Linked DNA regions of Schizosaccharomyces pombe. The protein of the gene in region 1 interacts with the protein of each later gene in a pairwise test. Each region holds a gene or a part of one and is shown on either strand. Other genes may lie near its edges. The genes, in order: hgh1 and asn1.

Region 1 (3,727 bases):
GAGGTTAAGCCTTACCTTGTTCGAAACGTTGGTATTCAAGAGCTTCGCATTGTCCTTCTTCAAAAACCTGCAGATAAATCTTCAGCTGCTATTGGTTTGGTTGAAAGTGGATCGGATGCCGGTGCTACTGTAGAGATTGCACCTAATTTTGCAAATACCGTACCCGGTCAGCCTACATTTTTGTTTGAAAATGTCTCTGCTTAAAACATTTTGTAAGCACCATAAAAATAGTTACAGAAATCCTTTAAAGCAGGAGGAATGCGTTGTGCAATATGTAAAATAATATCATTTTCATCTGCTATATAGTTTGCAATTTTTTTTAAATAATAGATTTTTAGAGCGTTAACCAGACTATATATTTCTCTTGCAATATTCGGTCTTATCATTCATTTAATGTGAAAACGTATTGTTACAGTATTTTTTATTACATTTGTTTTCCAATTTCATTTTATGTTCCTTCGCTTGACGAAAATTATCAATCGCTTCCTGATTATTTTCATCGAATTCTAGTAAAGCAAAATTTTGAAATATTTCGAATCTCTTGTTGAATGCAGAATTAGACCACTATCCTGCCATTCAATACTCTCGTAACGGAATCGTCAAGCGCGGTGACATTTTTATAGTCCCTTTGGTTTAAATGCGTATACAAATTATACTAAGCTTTAACAGAGGCGATCTGTTAATGATTATAATAGCAAGAAAGTGATATATAAAGATCATAATAAGGAGAAGGAAAAACCAATATTCCTACTAAGAGAAAACAAAATAGCGAAAGATATAAAATACTTCCCTAAAACGTACGAAATTTGTGTGCGACTGACCCTTTTAACCAGAAGCCAATTGCATCTTGAAGTCGTTCTTTCAACTTGACAGTCTCAAGAGGACTAAATTTAGTAATACCATACCCATGAAGATATTGAATACACTGTTCCTTTATCAAATTATCAATGTCTTCAAGGCTTGCAAGGGTGGGAGTTCATAGTCTCTAGGTTCATCTCCGTTAAGGAATGGTACTGGAACAGCCGAACAATTCATATCTGCACAGACCATGTTTTCATATTTTCTTGTTAGCATCATCGACTTGCAAGAACGATCATCAATTTTTTGGATCGTTTGAGCCATATTATTAAATCTTTCTTCAGTTCTTTGATCCAAAAGATTTTTCTATCTAAATGAGATATAGAACCTTTCATGGCAGTTATATCACCCTTCATAGTAGTCATCTCACCTTTGATGGATGCAATCCCGTTCTGTATAGTCAAATCTAAAATTCATTAATTTCGCACAGACTCTATAACAGATGTAAATCGTTGGAAAACATTTTTAAGTCTTGATTTTCCCAACGATTAATCCAAAGTGGAAATTGAGTTTCCACAAAATTTTTCAGAAATTTCTCCTTTATCATCAGTTTCTTACAATTTCGCAACTGAACCTTGGCCGTAATAATCAAGCTATGGTTTTTGAAGAAAAGAATAGAATATAATCCAGGTCGGCTGCTTAAGTATCTTATTTAATTTAACCCTTTTTTTATTTATTGAACTCCAAGTTTTCGGTATACGTATACGATGAATCACCTGGCAGATAATTGTTTTCCTTAACCTGTTGACAAACAGTTTTGAACGTAGAGATATGAAAGTATTAGAAAATGTGTGTCTACAGATTAATTAAATGCATTTTGCTTAAATAAAATTAGCTTCTGCAGACAATTTGCCTAATATGATTTTTAGTTGTACTAACTTGGAATTTGTATGTCACCACTGAAGTTTGCAAATTTTACAACTTCGCATTAAACCTCTACAATTCTTAATATTACAAGAGAAAAGGCTATCGCTAGCGATCAGTAAATATTTTTATAAATGTCAGAACTTATAGAAGTAAGTGTAACTTTTGTTGCGCATGAGTTAACATAATTAGCTTGTAGGATTTTTACATGATCAAAATCCGCAGGTACGGATGTTAGCTGTTCAGCATTTGCTTCCGTACACCGCTAGGAATCATCCTCAATTTAGTATTTGGTTCCACAATGACTTTGAGCCGGTGAAAGACCTTAAGGCTCTATTGAAGGACAAGCCTCAGATTGCAAGTCAAGCTGTTACGGCTTTAGTGAATGTCTCACAAAATGAGAAAGTTCGTAAAGTGTTGATGGATGATGAATTTCTGCAGCTCATTTTTAGCATTGTGACAAACCCATTGCATGGATTGGCTGATTTGAGCTGTATGTTGTTGTGTAACTTGGCCAAGGAAGAAGACTTTGCCCGTATTTTAGATATGCAAGTTCCTTTAAGAGAGTTTTCGTTGAGTAAAAATATTATTGATCAGTTGATGGATCTTTTTGTGAAAGGAACCGATCATGGAATCAATGAGTATGCCAATTTTGATTTTTTGGCCAACGTATTTGCTGATATGACACGTTTTGAAAGGGGAAGAAAATACTTTACGACTCTTCAAGAGTATGATCATGTAATTCCAGCATCGAAATTGGTTGTTTTTACGGAGCACAAATCTTTATTGCGTCGCACCGGTGTCGCAGCCATCATTAAAAACATATCTTTTGACATCCCATTTCAGAAAGTTTTGATGGATGAAGAAGGTATTAATGTTTTGCCATATCTTTTACTTCCTTTGGCAGGTCCTGAAGAACTCAGTGAAGAGGATATGGATGGTATGTTTGACGAATTACAACTACTACCAGATGATAAGAAACGAGAGCCGGATCACTTTATTATGAAAACTTTAGTTGAAACATTGGTACTGCTTACTGCTACACGGGAGGGAAGAGAACATATGAGACGCCGTAAGGTGTACCCTATTATACGTGAATTGCACTTGAACGTGGATGATGAAGAGATTCGCGAAGTTTGTGATCAGTAAGTTTTTTTTTACAAAATGGGAAGGGATTTATTACTAATTCAAAATAGGCTTGTACAAATGTTGGTGCGTGACGAGGCACCTGAAGAACTTGAGCACATCCAAGATAACCCACCAGATGAGGATGATGTTATCGTTGAGGTGGATTAAAAAGGGAAAAATACATATTTTTTAAAAAAGATAATTTTGGGAGCCTAAAGCTCATCTTGGGGATAAATACATAGGTGTTTGATTTTGTTTTCCATTGAATGGTTGGAGAAAGAAAGAGTAGAAAGTGAAATGGAAATCACACAATAAAATATTTGGACTTTATAATTGAGAGAAAGGTGCGTTATGAAGAGCAAGAGTCCTTTAAAATCCCGAGTTTATAGTATTGTATTGCGAAATGTAGAAGAGCAAAATTAAATTATTGCAATGGGTAGGATTAGAGTATAAATTAGTAAACAGTGTATTGACAGAGAATAGAAAGTGTAAATAAATGGGTTATGCAGACAGCAGAGCACACCAAAGAAAAGGAAATAGCAAGTAGGAAAGTATCAATGGAATAAAAAAAAGAGGTAAAAATAAATGTAAGCAAATGTAAAAGGAAGCAACCGTAAAAATGAAATTAAATACAAATAATGAATGGATAAATTAATGAAAGAAGAAAGAAGCAAAAAAAATCCAAAAAAAAAAAAAAAAAAAAGTTATAATAATTAAATTAAATAAAACTAAAGAAATTAAATCACAAGGTCAATGAAATCCAGAATGAAATAAAAAATAAAAAAAATTTGTAAAAAATAAAATAAATAAAAATGAATTCACAATTTTACTAGGTTAATATATTCTTCTTCCAATGTTTGTTTACAAACTGCATTCC
Region 2 (4,887 bases), on another chromosome or scaffold:
GCGGTCGAATATGAAATTATGTGCATATTTTTATAAATCAGAAAAAATATGTAAGATGATATTCGAGACGCGAATGAAGTTTTACAATAGAAAGGGAAAGCCTTTACAAATACCTGCAAAAAAGGTCGTACAGATTCCGTTGTTTTTTGGGAAAGCAAATCATGATGCGCAAATCCTATATAAAAGGAACAGTTTTTTTTAGGAGAAAATTTTGGCAATTGCCGCTATGGCATCCATTACTAGCAATGAAATAAAGCAGAAGGCGGGCGACCTTGATTCCAGTAAAGGCTAACGGGAAAAATAAAAGGGAAAAACGACGTCACAAATAAGTGAACAAAAAGTCATTAATGGTTGGGTTTCTAAAGTACCGGGAAATAAATGATTAGTTTCATCTTTGACAAAATTAGTAACAAAGCTGCAATAGACTGTTTATATTTTTGAGAGTGAAGGAGTTTCAAGCGGAATAAAACAGCCTGCTCAAAGACAAAGATAGACACCATGATTATAAGGTGATGAATTCAATATGGCACAGTGATCCTAACGAGGAATACTGTCATTATCATCATCACGGAGGGAAAGTTTTTGAATACCAAAAATTCTCTTCCGGTGAACGGCAGGCAGTTTAGGGATTAAAACCATAAACAGGGCCCAAATGTTGACCAAGAACATCCAACCGTTATAGTGGGTGTAATGAGTACTCATTAGGAATAGTATAATGGGTAGAACTAAAAGATATTTACGGGCTGGTGTGTATTGATTTCCTTCATCTAATTGCTCCCACATGGTAAGGCGATCATAGGCACCACCGTTGAACTCGAATGGAGTTCCAGTAACCCAATGAAACATGATGAATGAACCAGCCATATATGTAAGATTAGTGAGGGTCCATGCTAATTCGCGTGACACTGAAGGAATAGCATGGAAAATAAGACGAAGAGCTGCAATCAAGACAATGTGGATAACCCATGCGCCCTTATAGTTCACCCAATTAGAGTTATAATTCGTGGCTGAGCCTTGGTCTAAACGATCATCAATCGTGGGTTTAGGTACCTTAGTGACCAGGGAGGAAGACCTTCTTCTGCTACTACTGCTGCCCATTTTTATATGAAGATGAAGAAACAGAACGAGAAGGAAGAGGGAAAAACGGATGTGAGTAAAGAAATAAACAAGTTATAAAGAAATAAACAACTTTGACGGAAAAGCTTTAAAATCCACACAAAGTTAAAAGAATCGATTCAACTCGCCTGACCAATCTGCAATTCAATCTGTAAAACAATTAACCACCGACTACTTCGTATCTAGAAGAAGACGATATCACAAAGAACAAATAATATACTTGGTCAAACAAGAGAAGAGAAGTAGCTTAAGCTTGTGAAACTATCAAAGCCAGCTTCCAATTATGTTATAAAAGAAAAAGAAACAAAGAAAAGACGAAACTTCGGCTATTTTTTTTGAGAAAAAAAATTTCCAAATATTATAAAGACCAGTAATTCCTTTAAATATATAAAGACTTCAAACACCGTTTCTTGATAGGGTTTTTTGTTAATGTTTGCGTTTTATGGATATGTGTAGTAGCAGGAGGAATAGCATCACTGATGGATTCTAATAGAAATAGTTTGCTCATTTAGTGTAGTGAGTTAGCCGACTGTGGCGTAGTGATACGATTCCGAAACGATACTTTGTTGATACCTTATAACTTTATACTGAATGTTTATATCCACTGCTATCTAATCTTATCGCACATAGTTATCTTGTAAATCATAAATTGAATACCGTTTTGTATTATCTTATCGTAATCGATCTTTCGGCGGCAAACTATCGTAGTAATCACCGCGCTAATCACTGCTAGCAATAACCTATAAAAGTTCCCGGAATCTCTACATTTCACTTAACTTTTTCCAACATCGGCAGGGAGATTTTGACGGTATCTCCTAGAATTGGGCAGGAAACGATCGTAAAACATCGTTTATTAAAAAGAACGCAAAAAATTATATCCTATAGTTTTTGAACGAGCTAAATAGCTTCCGTTTTGGAGTTTACATTCTAAAACATCTAACACCTAATTCTGAACTGATTGTTGGCTCAGTGCTACTTTTTGACTATTACATTTCTTTTATAAAGATAATATTTATCTTTTACATATCTTAAAAGGTAACTATCATTCCAGCTGCGTTGATAAAAATTTTTTATTATCTTCCATTTTTTCCCTCTCCTTCTATTCTTTGTTTAGTAACCATAAATTTTAGATCTATTTGTCAATTTTTTTGAAACATTAACTATGTGTGGTATTCTTGCTGTTCATCACGTCGCCGAAGATATTGAGGCTTTCAAGCCCAAGGCTCTTCATTTGTCGAAACAACTTCGTCACCGTGGTCCTGACTGGTCTGGTAAGGCTATTCGCAACCAAACTATTCTTTGCCATGAGCGTCTTGCTATTGTCGGTGTTGAAAGTGGTGCTCAACCTCTTGTATCTGACGATGGTAAACTTGTCCTTACTGTCAACGGTGAAATCTATAACCATCTTAAGCTTCGCGAAAACTTAAAGGGTAACTATAAATTCAAGACTTACTCCGATTGTGAAGTCATTTTATATCTCTACCGCGAACATGGTCCTGCTTGCGCTAACATGTTGGACGGTATGTTTTCTTGGGTTTTATATGATCAAGACAAGGATAAGGTTGTTGCTGCTCGTGATCCCATTGGTATTACAACTTTATATCAGGGCTTCTCATCTGACAGTCCTGATACTGCCTATTTTGCTTCTGAATTGAAGGCATTGCATCCTGTTTGCGACAAAATCATTGCTTTCCCTCCCGGACATTATTACGACTCCGAAACCAAGCAAACTGTCCGCTATTTCAAGCCTAGCTGGTGGGACGAAAATAAAATTCCTTCCAACCCCGTTGACTACAAGCTTCTGCGCGAGACTTTGGAGGCTTCCGTTCGCAAGCGTTTAATGGCTGAAGTTCCTTATGGTGTTCTTCTATCTGGTGGTTTGGATTCCAGTTTGATTGCTTCTATTGCCGCTCGTGAAACTGAGAAGCTCGCTAACAGCACTTCGCAGTCCGAAGAGGCTCGTACCATTACCGCTTGGCCTAAGCTTCATTCTTTTGCAATTGGTTTACCTGGCTCTCCTGACTTGCTTGCGGCTCGTAAGGTTGCCGACTTTTTGCATACTTTCCATCATGAGCACACCTTCACTATCGATGAAGGTCTTGATGCTCTTCGTGACGTTATTTACCATCTTGAGACATATGATGTTACCACTATCCGTGCAAGTACCCCCATGTATCTACTATCTCGTAAAATCAAGGCTCAAGGTGTTAAAATGGTTTTGTCTGGTGAGGGATCTGACGAAATCTTTGGTGGTTATTTATATTTCGGTAATGCCCCCTCTCGTGAGGCCTTCCATTCCGAGTGTGTGCGTCGTGTTAAGAACTTGCACTTATCCGATTGCTTGCGTGCTAACAAGTCAACTATGGCTTGGGGTCTTGAGGCTCGTGTTCCTTTCTTGGATAAGGACTTTTTGGAAGTTGCTCTTAACATTGATCCTGAGGAGAAAATGTATATTAACGGTCGTAAAGAAAAATATATTCTTCGCAAGGCTTTTGACACAACTCATGATTCTTCATTACAACCATATCTCCCTCAAGATATTCTTTGGAGACAGAAGGAACAGTTCTCTGATGGCGTTGGTTATTCATGGATTGACGCTTTGAAGGACACTGCTGAGTTATGTATTTCAGATGATGAATTTGCTCTTCCAAGGAGGGAATGGGGTGACGATATTCCTACCACCAAAGAGGCATTCTGGTACCGCAAGCTTTTCGACGAAATCTTCCCTAGACAGTGTGCTGACACTGTTATGCGTTGGGTTCCCAAGGCTGAATGGGGTTGCCCCGAAGATCCATCTGGTCGTTACCAGGCTGGTCACGTTGCTGCTTTAAAATAAGCTGTGTAATTTAGCCCAGTAGGCGTTATCCGACGTTCGTTTATGTTCGTTAATGTAGGGATGTTATACTTTCCTTTTTTTTGTATTGTAAAAAAAACTCGTTTTCACCCTTTTCTCCTTTGTCTGATTCCTTTTATTTAGATTTTCGTTATTTAATATTTAACTATACCAAATCGAATCTGAACACTTCTTTTCGCATATATTAATCTTTTGAAATCTGCATATAATAGTTCGTATTCTGAGTGTTGTATAAGCTTGAAACACCTCTTAAACCGCAGTTTATAGTTTCTACAGTGTTTAAAAGCAGCATGATTATATCATGTAAAGTAGTGAACATTCCTTTTTTGAAACAAATAGCTGGATGGCTGTTTCCAGTTTTATCTAACTTAAATATCTAAAGAAATACGGAATAATCAGAGGAACAAAAACTTTATATTTTTTTTGAACTAAAAGAGAATATAAAATGCTAAAAAGACTTTAAATAATTCTTCATAAGGACCAAACAAAAGATAGATTGACTGTGACAGTAAGACCTTTTAACGATCGAAACCGTGACGAATTAATTCATCGTATAAAATGGGATTTAAATTTTTAGAAAAATAAAAAATGTGGGATTAACGGGCAAACTTAGAGTAATCTTTTGCAAGGACTTCGAGTGCTTGCATAGCTGCCCTAGAGCCCGCGTCTTTTTGATTTGCACCCCACGCACGGGCTACTTCTTTGCCATTAAATATGCAGGCAATAACATAACCCTCAGCGGAACCACCAGCACCATCGACCCAGCGATATTCGATGTGGCCCAAAGTGCTGTACTTGTGAAAAAGTTTTGATTTAGCCAGCTTATCGATAGGACGTTGAACAGTGATATTGGCAATCTTTGGTTGGAGAAGTCGGCTAACCCATTGAAAAGCTGTCTCTTCTTGTCCATCCAATAT

What was found.
Region 2: the proteins of hgh1 (region 1) and asn1 interact in a two-hybrid assay, tested with the Schizosaccharomyces pombe proteins (one large-scale study listed by BioGRID).

What each region holds. Positions count from the first base shown.
Region 1 is NC_003424.3:5,152,076-5,155,802, forward strand, and holds hgh1 (protein hgh1), read left to right. Parts: upstream 1-1,788; 5' UTR 1,789-1,856; coding exon 1,857-1,874; intron 1,875-1,914; coding exon 1,915-2,867; intron 2,868-2,918; coding exon 2,919-3,018; 3' UTR 3,019-3,153; downstream 3,154-3,727. Other genes in the region: leucine--tRNA (Leu) ligase Lrs1, read left to right, coding at 1-204.
Region 2 is NC_003423.3:733,138-738,024, forward strand, and holds asn1 (asparagine synthetase), read left to right. Parts: upstream 1-1,889; 5' UTR 1,890-2,151; intron 2,152-2,259; exon of another isoform or gene 2,260-2,265; 5' UTR 2,266-2,278; coding exon 2,279-3,952; 3' UTR 3,953-4,158; downstream 4,159-4,887. Other genes in the region: orm1 (ORMDL family protein), read right to left, coding at 538-1,098; double-strand-specific ribonuclease Pac1, read right to left, coding at 4,567-4,887.